Caenorhabditis elegans: one gene and its partner. The protein of the gene in region 1 purifies or fractionates together with the protein of each later gene. This does not show direct contact. Each region holds a gene or a part of one and is shown in the gene's direction. Other genes may lie near its edges. The genes, in order: gsp-1 and sds-22.

Region 1 (8,580 bases):
GATCTTATTAATTGCGGCTACAGTATGTTGAATAACTAAATCACATTCTGTTTTCATTACATATTTCATTAGAAGCATGTACCTAAACTTTTTTATACGAAAAATCTTAATTGCATCTGTATGCTCATATATAGTAACATTTGATTGAATCAGTCTTTATTTTCCAGCACAAGGCGTTCCTTCGAGCCCAAAGAAACGGTTTTTCTTCCCGGTCTCTGCGCCTTGTCATCTTCGTTTTTCTTCCTATTTTTCGCCCTCTCAAAAACTTGCGGTTACTTGTTTAGTCAACAACTTTTTTTGCTTCTGCTTCTGCGCGATTCAATAAATTGAATTCGAGACCCTCATCTCAACGTGAGCATCTCGTTGCCCCGTCCGTCCCTGCTTTCCTCCTCTTTTTTCATTTCCTTTCGGTCTTATTTTGCCTTCTCTCGATCTTTTTCACATGTGCTTACGTTTTCTTTCACCTCAATCAAAGCTCGAACATGATACTAAATTTTCGTGAGAAAAGTTTTTGACTAATAATTGTTTTTAGCTGTTTATTTGAAAGCGTAATTCCGAAATTTTCACAAATCTCCAAAAAAGGAGCCTAGTACGGTGGTTTTTTGTGTGCAATTGTGCGTCAACTTGTGAACAGTGTTTGCGGACTTTCAAAATAATTTTTGTCCTATTGCATTTTTTGAATGTTTTTCATCGCTTTTTTCGTTTATGAAACTGTTTATGTTACGAAATCAAGTAGTTTTATTCTTTTTTAAATAATTTTCGTTTGATATAACTATTTTCCGTAATGTCATAGAGGCTTAAGGTGATTTGAATGACTTCTTGGGGTATTTATTCCAGAATTTATTTATTTCGATTGAATAGAAAAGAAGTTGGTTTAAAATATGAATAACATGTGTTATCATTTAGTTTATATTGTTAACATTATATTAGTCATCGAAAAGTTTTACACCGCGCAATGAAAAGAAAAATAATTACGAAATTTTATGGCTCGTAAATAGTTCTTTTTGTAACATTTTGTTGGCAGAAACATACAATTTGTCATAATTTTATGCTTAATAATAAAAAATTGTTTATTAAGTGTTGTTTGAAAAAAGTCTGGAATGTCGTATATCTTTACCGCACAGGAAGTGTTTGCCTTTCTCAATCTTTTCTTTCTCGTCGTCGTTTCCTCTTTTCGAAACGTTCTGCGTGCAAATCAAATACTTGTACATCTCGTTTTGCCCATTTGTTCTAGAGAAGAGAAAGAAAGAGCACCTCAAGCTTCTCTAGCCGTTTTTTATTGTTGTTTTTTCTCACAAGAATAAGCGTTACCCTTTTCAAAAGATAACAGACTATGCGCAAAGTGTGATAAGAAAACCTTCTCGGAAGTTGTCGCCGTTTTTGATTCCATGACGTCTTACACGATGTCAGTAGTGTCGAACCAATATCGCACGTGCCACCGGAGGTAGTGCAATAACATTGCGAATTGTTTCGGCGAAAGAATGGAAACGACGGTGGCGAGTTATCGATCAATACTGCGGGCAGTGGCCGGTGGATCGGCGCGCGTTCGTCTCTCGCTCCACTCGTACACTCACACATAGGGACAGGCACATACACATGCGTCTCAGTCCGTCGTCACTTTTCGCTCCTCTTTTTATACGCGGCATTTCATCCCGATCTCCTCATTTTCCTCCACTATTGATGAACCTACTTTGCTTGACTACAGCCACACATGTTTCTCTTTGAAAGCTTCTGTTTTCTCTCTATCATATCTTCACCATTTCCTTTTTCTAGTGCTGTAAAGTTATCCGCCTGCTGTGACGACGGTGTCGTGTTTATGACATGTTCCTCCTCGGGGTCGTTGATAACGGCAAAGAGAAGGAACGGGCGTCGTCTCGTTACCGTTTTCCGATAAAACTATATAGGTGTATAACTTGAAATTGGCCAGAAAAAAAAAGAGTATTAGAGTAGCTTCGATTTGCCTCAAGGTGCATAAAGCGGTGATTCACGTTTCGAATTTGAGAGACGCAGGTGTTTAAGTGAATATGGTCTCAGTTTGCTCCCCAATTCTTTTTGTTGTCTTTTGCTACCACAGGACGAAGGAATTTCTCTTAGTACACCAACAAACTTTTTTCTTCAAGGCATCAGTTGCTCGTTTTCTATTTTCAATGTTTAGAAACAGTATAGCACAAATTTCACATAATTCAGTTTTTTTGTTTGTTTTCACGACACGCGTTTGTTGCCTTTTCAAATTCAAAATTTGCATATCGATTGTTAAAAACCATGTGTTCTTTCTTTCTCAAACATTTTAATATTGTGTCCATCACGTCATCGAGTTTCCGATTGAAACAAATCACTTTAAGGTTTTTATTCTTCAAAAATATAATCCAATCAGGAAATTTGAAAACTATATTATATTCGCATTACAATTTCTTGATAAAATTCTCATTTTTGCATTTTTCCTCTTGGAATTGTAATGATACGCATCACATCCTACTGCTGTTGTTTTTTGATGCTTTTTAAGCTTAGTCTTATCAATTTTCTCACGTTTTCCTTGAAGTTTTTTTTAAATTCTCACGCCAACGTTACTAATTTTTTATCTTTCAGCCACAACCAATATCAGTTGTCGGCCAAAAACATTGCAAGAACATACATCACTTGCCATCCATCAAAAGTGACCAACAGAAGCCGCGGAGATTGCAGCTGCAAAAACAATGTCGAACGATGGAGATTTAAACATTGACAATCTGATCACCAGACTTCTTGAAGGTGGGTTTTAAAGTTAATAGAGAAATTGATCTAATATCGACATTCGAACTAAACCAGCTGTATAGTTGTTCAGAAATTTTATTGAATTTTATTTGTTTGAAATTCCGACTAGAAATTCCAAATATTCTGGTTTTGAGGAATTTTGTTTAATATAGCAATTATCATTATTTATTATGGTTGGCAACTATTTATTTCAATAATTTCTGTCATTTTTCCACTTTCCGATTTTTACGGTCGTAAAAAATTTAATTAATATTTAAAATTTTACTAATTCTCTTTAAAGCTTATTTTAAGTGACTAATTTGATTTTTCAATAAAATTATTTTTCAGTTCGCGGATGTCGTCCAGGAAAGCCAGTTACCATGTCGGAGGCGGAGATCCGTGCTCTTTGTCATAAATCTCGTGAGATCTTCCTATCACAGCCAATTCTTCTGGAACTCGAAGCACCTCTCAAGATTTGTGGTGAGTTTTTTTATTATTCAAAAACCGTTTTTGTGTCTGCAATGTAAGAGACGACTAGAGAATATGGTCAATAGTCTTCGATTATTTATAAATTCTGTCTAAAAATTCAAAGATAGTTCAATTATTTAGTAAAAACATCACTGAACGTATGTGATTATTGGAAAAAAAGTCCGAATGTCATTGAAAAGTTTCGCAGCATACAATTTAGAATGTTAATTTCTCTAAAAGTTCAATATGAATGAGAAATATTTAATTTTAGGAGACATACATGGACAATATAACGACTTGCTCCGTTTATTCGAATACGGAGGATTCCCACCAGAGGCCAATTACTTGTTCCTCGGAGATTATGTCGATCGTGGAAAGCAGAGCTTGGAAACAATTTGCTTGTTGCTCGCATACAAAGTCAAATATCCAGAAAACTTTTTCCTTCTTCGTGGAAACCACGAATGTGCTTCAATTAACCGTATTTATGGATTCTACGATGAATGTAAGGTTTTTTTTTGCTTTAAAGAAAATTCGAAATATTAATTGAGATATTACGTGTCCATGATTTGATGAAAACTGCGGAGACGCCTGCGTCTCTCTTCTCCACACGCTCTCTCGCCATAGGCGTTTTGCATAGGCGTTAGATAGCATGCGAGAAAAAGAGACGCAGGTGCTTTTTGCGCTTAAGATATGGCGATTTTTCTCACCCGCACATGGATACGTAATAACAAATTATTCCAAAACAAAATATTCGCTTTTTTTTAAATTTTCATACGCCCGTTCACATCAAGTAGAAACTTTCTCCGGATGACAAAAAGATTCTTAATAACCATGCATCGGTTGTGTATATTTTAATTTATATTTCAACGAAAAATTCCATTAAATTCTGGGTTATTAAAATTTGTCCAGTTCAATCAGCAAATTTCGATAGTTAAAAAAGGAAAATTATGTCAATTATTTTTTCAAAATAACAGAATAATTACAATTTTCAATCAATGTAAAAATTTGGAGAACAATAGCTACTGAATTCTTTGAAAAAATCAGTATATTTTGAAGATTTTCTTATTTCTCTTTTTTTCAGATTCTTATACTCAAATTTTCATCAAATATCAAAAAAAAACGACCAGGTCCTCAAATTTTAATTTAATAATTTTTAGAAGTAAAAATTGCTGGAATTGTTATTGAAAAGTCTTTAAACCAAATAATTTTCAGGTAAGAGACGTTTTTCGATCAAATTGTGGAAAACTTTCACCGATTGCTTCAACTGTCTTCCAATTGCTGCACTCATTGATGAGAAGATCTTCTGCTGTCACGGAGGACTCTCCCCAGATCTCCAAAATATGGAACAAATTCGCCGTGTGATGCGACCAACCGATGTTCCTGATACTGGATTGTTGTGCGATTTGCTCTGGTCTGATCCAGACAAGGATGTTACCGGATGGGGAGAAAATGATAGAGGAGTCTCGTTCACATTTGGACCTGATGTCGTTGCAAAGTTTTTGAACAGACATGATTTGGATCTGATATGCAGAGCTCATCAGGTCGTCGAAGATGGATATGAGTTCTTTGCTAAGCGACAACTTGTCACACTATTCTCTGCTCCAAATTATTGTGGAGAATTCGATAACGCTGGTGGAATGATGAGCGTTGATGAGACATTAATGTGCAGTTTCCAGGTAAGAATATTTCTGTTATGTATTCGAAGGCCGAACAAGGAGAGAAGACGAGTAGTTTATTACATTACTAAACTAAGGAATAAATAAGTTAGTTCATAGAGTTCACGTTATACGATCTTCTTAGCCACGTCGTGGGTCAATACACGTTCCAACAATTTCATTCTTTTTCCAAATATTCCAGATCCCCGAAATGGAATAAATTCAAACAAGATGGAAAATCAGAAACCAATTTTCTAAATGTGTTTACAATTGATTTTTAAATTAGGGGTCGGGCATCCTTGGTCAAGAGGAACCGATTTCGAAAAATTGAAACCTCGTGAGATTGAAAATCGAATTTATGTAAAAGTTCCTGCTCTTCAAATTTAATTTTGGCTGGGAACTCATTGAACATTCGCATCACATCAAGAAATAATCTAGCATGAGATGAACCTTTTTAGAGAAAAACGGCACCGGCATATTTACAAATTCGTATTAAAATGATCGAGAAAATTAGAATGCTAGTGGCTGTGTATTTCACGTGAAAAAAACTATCAAATTCTTTAATTTTGAATATATTTCACAAAATCTCGTGAAATTTGTATCAAAAATCAATAATTTTTCGTAAATCTTAGAAATCTCAGGAACCGAAAATGAGCTGTATTAGTATTTCACCTTCCATCTTCTTTCTTTTCCATATCAAAATATGAGAGAAAAAGTACCATCAAACGGTACTTCTTTATTAAAATCCTACATTTCGGAAAAAATTTAAAATGTTTAAATATATAATGTTGATAATTGTTCAGTTAGTGACAATTTGTTCTTTTCCCGAAAAAACAATCTAACTCAAGTAGTTGCATCCCATGTTACGTCAAAACTCTTTTTCTTCCAATATCCTCTTGAACCTATCGGGAAATAATGACCAAACTGAACCATCAGTGATTATTAGATAATTTTATACTCAAAAAGCTTATAGAATTAATTTTGATCGGATAAGACTGAAATTGTTTTTTTTCAAATAAATTAGAAAAATTTGATTCATTATTTATTTTACAGATTCTGAAACCATCGGAGAAAAAAGCGAAATATCAGTATCAAGGAATGAACAGTGGACGACCAGCAGTGGGCGGAGGACGGCCTGGAACGACTGCTGGTAAGAAGTAAAGTGATGAGGAGAAAGAACATTTTTGCCTACATTTTTACTCATTTCTCTCGGATTTTTACTTTTCTGTCCGTTTTTTTTGAATTTCCCTTCTCTTTTATCTCAAACATTTTATTATTTTCTCGCCCTCAATACACCCCACCCCGCACAAAAACGAGTTTTAAATGCTCTTCATTATTATTTTCTTTTCTGATTTTCTATTTTTGTGCAACTGTACTCGATCGAATATAATTTAATTTTTCTGGCGAGTACAGATTGCAAATCTTTCTCTCTCTCCTTCTGTGTTCTCCATTTTTAGCTAAATTTTCTCATATATTTTTTTTCTGATTGCCTCTCTTTTTCCATTTGCTCTTATCCTGTTTTATTCTTAGTTGTGAGCCTAACACACCGGGATCAAAATCCTTCCGATTTAAAGTTGCAGCTTATTTATTCTTACAATGTTAATCACACAAACATTCTGAAAGTACGAGAGCGAATTCGTTCTTATTTTTTAGAATATTGAATTCTGATCCGCCCCAACAACACGCACACTGATAATTTTCTATGGTTTTTATTCGAAAATAGTGAATTTTTCTCGACAGCTCCCCCCGTTCCTTTTTCTCGCCCCCATTTCCTTCTTTCTTTCCTCCAACTGATTCCAATGAATATTTTTTCCAAAAGGTTTCTCTTGCGCAAGAACCAGTCACTCAAATTTTGTGTGTGTGTGTTTGGTCAAAGTATTTATAAAACACATACTGTCTTCAGGCAAAAAAATAATGGAAAAAGTATGAATCACATTGTTTGGAATGAGTACAAGAATAGAAATAAAATGTTCGTTGGATGGAAAAAGAATAAAGAGAAGGAATCCTGCCAAGGGAAACCAATTACTTCTGAAACATTAAATCAAGATCAGGGAAATTTAATATTTCAGAAATAACTGCAACACATAATCCTTTAAACTGGGCAATTATTTTTTAAAAATTCTATTTGGTAGTTTTCAGAATGGATTTCGTCGCCAAAATAATGTTATTTATAAACCATTCGACTCAATAATACGATACCTGGACCCGGCACGACTGTAATATTTTTTAATGATTTCTGTGAAAAGCAGTGTGCGTCTTTCAAGAGTACAGTAGTTTACACTTCTGACTGCTGCACAATGTTTTCAATTTTTCGCTTTATTTTCTTTTGAAAGTTCCTTATTTTCAGAAATTTAAAGTATGCATGTGAAAAAAACTATTTTACAGAAAAATGTGAAGGAATCTTAAGATGTGAAAAATCGAAGAAAATTGCATTCTACAGCAGAACGGAATGGACGCCACTGTAATCATTAAAGGCGCAGTCTTTTTTCTCGCAGCTTTTATTAAAACATTTTTTCGTGACGAGACCGGGTACCGTATCCCAGCGTCATTACAATTTTCACATCTGGGAATATTGTGTTGTTCTTTATTAAGGAAAAGTTAACAAAAAACACTTTTGTTGTGATTTTGCGAATTAAATGAGGTCCCGTGTGCGCCTTTAATGAATACTGTAATATCAAACTCTTGTTGCTTCGGAATTTTCATAGATTGTTCATAGTGTTTCACACGATTTTTTAACATTCATATGCTTTGTTTTTCGTTTTCTTGATTAAATTTTTCTTCAAACAATGAATGATTAATGAAAATTCCGAAGCAATAGCTTGAAATTACAGTAATTATTAAAGGCACACGCCTTTTCGCATTTAACGAACGTTTGTCGTGTCGAGACCGGGGACCTTATTTTTTAGATCGCAAAATCTTGCCGTGTAATAAAATCCTCGCATTCCAATTTCAAAATGCTCAAAGTTCTTAATATGTGTGTGGTTTGAACTCATAGTTTGCTCTACAGTGCCGTAATACGAGACGGAGCACACAGGTTAAGACGTGTTTGAGCAGCATTTCACAGTTTGTCGCAAAAACTTCGAACAGTTTTTTGCCCGTTTCGCAGACAACTTTGAGAGTTTACGAGAGTATTTCACAAGTAAATACATTATTTCCTTCAATTGTTGCCACTCGGTCTCATTGACTGTGTTTCACATTATTTGCAATTGAAAATGTTCCAGTTGTTTAAAGCTCCGCCCATTGCAGTTCGCTTAGATAGAGAAAAACAGAGAGGAATCATCAGACGACAAGATTATTGCTTTTTTGGTGGGTTTTTTCAAATGTATAATTCAGCCTATAAAAGGTAAACTTCATTTTAACCAAGATGGTTTTAAATTTTACTTTAGCTCTAGTAAACATGGTTTTTTAAATGTTATTTTTTCCTTTAGTTAAGTTGTGATTGGACGTAAATTATGAGTGATTCCATAGTTAAAACATTCAATAGGATGGGTCTCGCCGTGATAAAAATTTATGGTAGAATTTTTTACATTTATTATGCATTCTTAATTAATTTGTATTTATTACTTAAAGACTTGTTAATAGTGACAAATATCTGTAAAATTCACCAATGAATCCCGGTTTTCAAAATTTAAATTTCTAAAATCAATAGTTTTTCCTTCTCAACTCTCGAGGAAAAATTTGTCTCTAAAGCATCTAAAAACAAAATGATATCATGTATTTGCACAGG
Region 2 (5,652 bases), on another chromosome or scaffold:
GAAAAATACTAGACATGTGTCGATCACTCATATTTTTTGCATAGCTAAAATGGTATATTATAAGGTAGAATTAAAGACATTTTCAGATATCAAACGACTCGGAGATAAACCGATAAAACATTAAAAAGAAAATTGAACTTTCAAAAAGATATATTCATTAGATGAATCAACATTTTGAAAAGAGATTCTTCAACAGAAAAGTTATGGAATGTTAGAAGAAAAAAGATGAATTCGATGAAACAGAGTTGATAGTAACGAAATAAATAAAGGAGTCGTTTAAATCGTATGGAAGGAGAATGAATGATAGAAACAGGGAGAGAGATAGATATGCTTTGAACTGTAGTATGAAATGAGACAAAAAATAAAAAATCGAAAGCTTAACGAAATTAACAAAACTCGAAATTCAAAATTCACAACGATCGAGGAGATACTTGGCGAGAGCCCAACCATCAAGTTCGAATGCCTCTGAAAATGAAAGATTCGAAACTTTGAGAATAACCTATTTTACCTCTTCCTTCGACGACTTTTCGTTCACCAGTGGCGGAGTTGGTCATCAGTATCAGCTTCGTTTTAGTGTTGTCGACATCAGTGTGACGAGCAATACCATCAACAGTCCAGGTTGTTTCTGAAATGTAATAAAGAACAATTTACGAGGATTTTAAAAAATAATTTACCATCTTTCACAATGACTGGGGGAGCAAGAGTTCTTTGACGGCCATTTGATGTTTCCGCATTTATAGACTTTCTCTGAAAATACATCATATATATACATATTATTTTTATGCACTCGAACCCACCTTAGACGTTGGGATAACTGAAGATGCGCTGGCAACTGGACTTTCGCTTGGGTCTTTCTTTATAACGACCTCTCTTGGCTTTGGTGGTGTAGATGGTCGCTTGACAGGTTCTTCTGCTTTTTCCTCAACTGCCTTCACTACTTTTACTTTGCTCGCTATTTTCTCAACATCACTGAGTGGCGCCGTAGTTTCTGCCTCGTCATCGGAAGATTCTTCATCAAGCCAATTTCTTCGGGTATCACGAACTTCCATTGCAGCTTTCTTCGCATTGTTTGGAGCTACTGGACCAGAAACCGTTGCTTCGTATGACTTGAGTGCAGCTTTCGTTGGGACTTTTGGAACTTTTGATGATACAGGAGTTTCGTTTTTAGCAGATCTGCAAAAATCGATTTAAAAAAATGGAATTCTCTCCATTAGCATCATTCCCGACAATTACGTGTGGATGTATTTACATTTTTGAAAAAAAAAACAACACCACTATTCAAACTATTGTCGTTTAATAAAGAATTTAGCTCACTTTTTACTTTTCTTCGATGTCTTCGGAGTACCGTAGCTACCGTCGCTGTCATGGTTAGACTCATGGTCACTAACCGTCTTCGATCGCTTTTTTGATTTTTGCGATTTGTTCTTTTTTATTTGCTTTTGAAGAAGTTCAATAAGCTCTGTTTTGTCAGTGACTTTCAATTTTTTGTAGTACTCTGCAACAACTTCGCTGGCACACTCTTGCAGATCTTCTTCGGGTTCCCAGGTATCCTCGTCGGCGCCATAACCCAACCAACGAACCTAAAATGTGGACAATTAAGTTAAGAAATAATTTCGTGACTTACTTGAAGCACTAGCAGATTATCTGTAACTTTATGAGCAAGAATCTTCTCAACTTCAAAAATCTCGTCAGACTTTCCCTCTCTTGCTTCGGGCTCTCGAGACTCTTCACGTGAACCTTCTGTAAAATCTATTCTAGGTTTTAATAAATAAATAAAAACATACCATTACTCATCTTCACAACTTTTAGAGATTATTAGTCGACAGTTAAAATCGATTGAAGATTAGAAAATAAGACGGAATTTTCAAAAGAAAACTCAGCGACAGCAGCAACGACGCTCCGAAGTTCTGCTGCGCGCCCTCTTTAGCGGAGTTGAGAAAAGAGACTCAGTTTCCCCGGATTGCGGAACTTGAATGGAAATAATTTGTTCTTGATAAATAATGAAAATGTGAAAGTTTTGCAGTTTTTTTTTCGAAATATTCAATTATTGTCTATAAAATACTTTTTAACTTGTTTTATTTCATAAGCATGATCACTGGTCAGCTAACGAATCTCACAGATTTGTTTCTACGGTAAAAAAGTCCTAGAATGAGCAATCTCTTCAATGATGAAGCCAAAATAAGAAAACATATTTTTGTTTCTATAGACTACATTTTTTAATTAATCCATCAATTTATTCTATTAAACATACTGAAAGTCATATTGTAATCAATTTTAGCTACACATGCGCGTTCCTGAAGGAGCCCCTGTTCCGTTTTGGTTGTCAGTCAAGAATCGTCTTCCCAAATGGGCCAAAGTTAATCGGCCAACACTCGGATCCATGGCAGTTGTAGCTACTGCACTTGTTACATGTTGTGCTGTAGCTGCTGTAACGCTTTATCCAAAATATCATCATGATTATTATAAAAACGCACAAAAAGAGGAACGGGCCTTACTTCGATCATCTCGAGAACAACAAGCTGGTCCTCAAAATGTCTGGATCGATCCATTCGAACGAAAATAACTTTTTTTCATTTGTTTCTTTCTACGTGTATTTTTCATAGTTTTTCAAAAAACATTATATAGGTCTTGATATGCTTGTGATCTCTTTCTTAAATATTGCGTTAAATACGCCTGACAATATCTATAACTGACTGATAATCTTGTGCGAAACTTACAAATTCAGAGTAATATTACTACTAGTAATGTCCAACGACAAATCCGCTGAAGTTGTTGTTCTTCCTCGTGAAAATGACGAAGAATCCAAAGAGCCTGTTTTGAAAAATCAATTCGATTTGAGCACATTCGATATCGATTCTCCGGTTTGTTTTTTTTTCCGCTTGGGTTTATTGGTGAAAGTAAACATGTTTCAGGAAATCGATCTAACTCACACTCGCGCTGATCACATTCCAGATCTTACTGGATTTCCGAAAATAGAGGTAAGAATACTTCAGAAATACGTGTGTAAATACAATGATTATATTCAGGAACTGAGAATGCGCAATAATCTTCTGGTTTCAATTAGCCCCACAATTTCTTCGTTAGTTACTTTGACATCCCTGGATTTGTACGAAAATCAGTTGACCGAAATTTCGCATCTCGAATCACTCGTAAATTTGGTTTCTCTTGATCTGAGCTATAACAGGTGAAGAATTTAAGAAACTTTTATTTCAATAATAACTTTCAGAATACGCCAAATCAACGGCTTGGATAAATTGACAAAGCTCGAGACTCTTTACCTTGTCAGCAATAAAATTGAAAAAATCGAAAATTTAGAAGCTTTGACGCAGCTCAAACTGCTCGAACTGGGAGATAATCGGTAAATATGGAATGTTTCAACATCAAAATCACAAATTGTGTTCAGAATCAAGAAAATCGAGAACATTGGTCACCTTGTAAATTTGGATGAATTATTTATCGGCAAAAATAAAATTCGTCAGTTGGAGGGAGTGGAGACCTTGCAGAAGCTCAGTGTTCTCAGCTTGCCGGGAAATCGTATTGTGAAAATTGAAAATGTTGAGCAACTGAATAATCTGAAGGAACTTTACCTCAGTGATCAGGGTCTACAAGATATTCATGGCGTCGAACCTCTGGTAAAAAGCAATTCAAAATACACTGAGAAATGGGTCTTTTTTGCAGACTAATTTACTTCTTTTGGATGTTGCAAATAACGAAATCAAAACGTTCAGTGGCGTTGAAAGACTAGAAAGTCTTAATGATTTCTGGGTAACCGAGACATTTTACGTTTCTTCTATATCTTTTATTATTGCAGGCAAACGACAACAAAGTGGAAAGCTTCTCCGAAATTGAGCAACTTTCAAAGTTAAAGGGTCTTCAAACTGTATACTTGGAGAGAAACCCGTTCTATTTCAATGATACAAACCAATATCGCAGAAAAGTTATGATGACCCTCACCCAAGTAACTCAAATTGATGCTACTACGTGCAGAAAGCCAATTGAATAACTCTCGGACGCTTCCAATAAATATCCGTTTGCTTTTCTTATCCATGATAATCTTTCATAAATATGTATCAGTTTGCTTCATTGTTTGATATTGAGAACAAAGTGTAAGGTTATTAAGAGGAATCGCAAATGAATCATAATCGACCTCCATATGGGCGAAGCCAATCGAAATGGCCAGATATTATCAGCTAATGAAAATTTAAAAAAAAAACGACTAATCAAGAGTTTGAAAAAGGTTTCATACTTTGAGAATAATGCAGTAGTTTTTAGACGGTGCGGTGAGATTTTAAGAAGAAATTATTTATTCTTCTCGCTAAATAAATATGAACCAAAACCAACTTTCCATGCCTGAAAACTTAAAGTGTGTCAATTACAGAGCTTTTCTTTTGAGAACAATCAAGAAGTTTCCTCGAAAAGTATTAAACATATATGAAATGAAAGCTACTGTAAGATTTTTTGTTGTGAAAATAAAGATTTTATTGGAAGGCGCACTTAACTTTGTCCCCTAAAAAAGGAATGTTCTTTCTTTGTTTTCATTAAATAATTTCAAACTCAGCAATGTGTATACGGTTTTTTTAAAAGGCGCATGCACATAATCTTTCACATGGTTTTATAAATAAAGAATGAAACCATTTTCGCGCGCGCGCGCATTTTTGGTTTTATTTTTCATGTTAGATTCCTCTAATGTTCATTTCAATCAGTGTGTCATCCCACTTTTTAACAGCTTCATTTTTATTTATTATTCGTCCTTTTAATATTTTTTTGGTAGACTTGTGCATGTTGACCTGCAGGTCCATGGAAAAATTGTCATTTGAATTCCCGCTGTTTTTAGAAGTGTCGTGAGAAAAGTGTACGAGCATGGTGTAAGAGACGCAGACATTCTGCGTGCGTCTTTTAAATATTCTTCGTTTATGTATGCGTTCTCTCTCGTTCTTTCGCTCAACCACTCGCATTTTCTTTGAATAATTACTCCTTCTGCAGAATGAGCGTGAGCACATCAGTTGTGAAGTCAATGCTACAATTGACGAACTATTTTGGCTCCAATTTCACACCGAAGACGGAGACAATCAGCTCATTAGCCGAGCTTTGGGAGAGGCACGGGAGTATGATCGCCAGTATGATGTAAGTAATAGCTCATTCATAAACAATTTCATATTTTATTTTTCAGGTCATGCGACACTCGGGAGTTTGGCACAGCTGACAAATTCTATGAAGTTATCTTCCGCAAAATCGCCACAACGAGTCTCAGCTTCATGACCGATTCATTGGAACCGAAGCTTGCAGCGAGCGGAGATTCACTGGAGATTTGCAAATTCTACGCTCTGTTTCTCGAGTATATGAGAAAGGATCACTCGGGAATGCTCACTCGCGCATTGGAGCAAGCGTCATCAGAGAATCGCGTCGACACAGCTGTGCTTCTTGATATGTTTTTGTTTTTCGACAACGTGTATTCGGAAAGTACCGCTGACGACTGGTGGGCATGTCTTCGGAGAGATGACGAAGATCAGGAAGCATCCAGTGGCTTCAGGACTCCGAAAAGGAACAACTACAGCTTGACATCATTGCAAACACCAACAGCTACTGCCCGGCGACTACGCACAGCTTCCTCAACTGCTCGGCGAAGCCCTATAGCGGAGGCTGTCGATTCCC

The links.
Region 2: the proteins of gsp-1 (region 1) and sds-22 purify together in Caenorhabditis elegans (affinity purification with western blotting, with the first as the bait; one study listed by BioGRID). This does not show direct contact.

What each region holds. Positions count from the first base shown.
Region 1 is NC_003283.11:10,679,836-10,688,415, forward strand, and holds gsp-1 (Serine/threonine-protein phosphatase PP1-alpha), read left to right. Parts: upstream 1-2,586; 5' UTR 2,587-2,693; coding exon 2,694-2,748; intron 2,749-3,078; coding exon 3,079-3,210; intron 3,211-3,469; coding exon 3,470-3,700; intron 3,701-4,410; coding exon 4,411-4,874; intron 4,875-5,906; coding exon 5,907-6,014; 3' UTR 6,015-6,670; downstream 6,671-8,580. Other genes in the region: F29F11.20 (uncharacterized protein), read left to right, coding at 8,066-8,159, 8,580-8,580. UniProt on the Caenorhabditis elegans protein: Serine/threonine-protein phosphatase which antagonizes the function of air-2 in the regulation of chromosome cohesion. Dephosphorylates histone H3 at 'Ser-10'. Dephosphorylates translation initiation factor eIF2alpha.
Region 2 is NC_003280.10:7,855,676-7,861,327, forward strand, and holds sds-22 (Protein phosphatase 1 regulatory subunit SDS22 homolog), read left to right. Parts: upstream 1-2,725; 5' UTR 2,726-2,744; coding exon 2,745-2,861; intron 2,862-2,912; coding exon 2,913-2,978; intron 2,979-3,026; coding exon 3,027-3,184; intron 3,185-3,226; coding exon 3,227-3,358; intron 3,359-3,403; coding exon 3,404-3,632; intron 3,633-3,678; coding exon 3,679-3,765; intron 3,766-3,811; coding exon 3,812-4,003; 3' UTR 4,004-4,078; downstream 4,079-5,652. Other genes in the region: mdmh-35 (MitochonDrial interMembrane space protein Homolog), read right to left, coding at 1-31; Chromo domain-containing protein cec-3, read right to left, coding at 404-465, 509-625, 675-747, 798-1,173, 1,315-1,580, 1,625-1,740, 1,785-1,794; T09A5.15 (Small integral membrane protein 26), read left to right, coding at 2,285-2,563; Spindle apparatus protein lin-5, read left to right, coding at 4,985-5,124, 5,171-5,652. UniProt on the Caenorhabditis elegans protein: Regulatory subunit of protein phosphatase 1.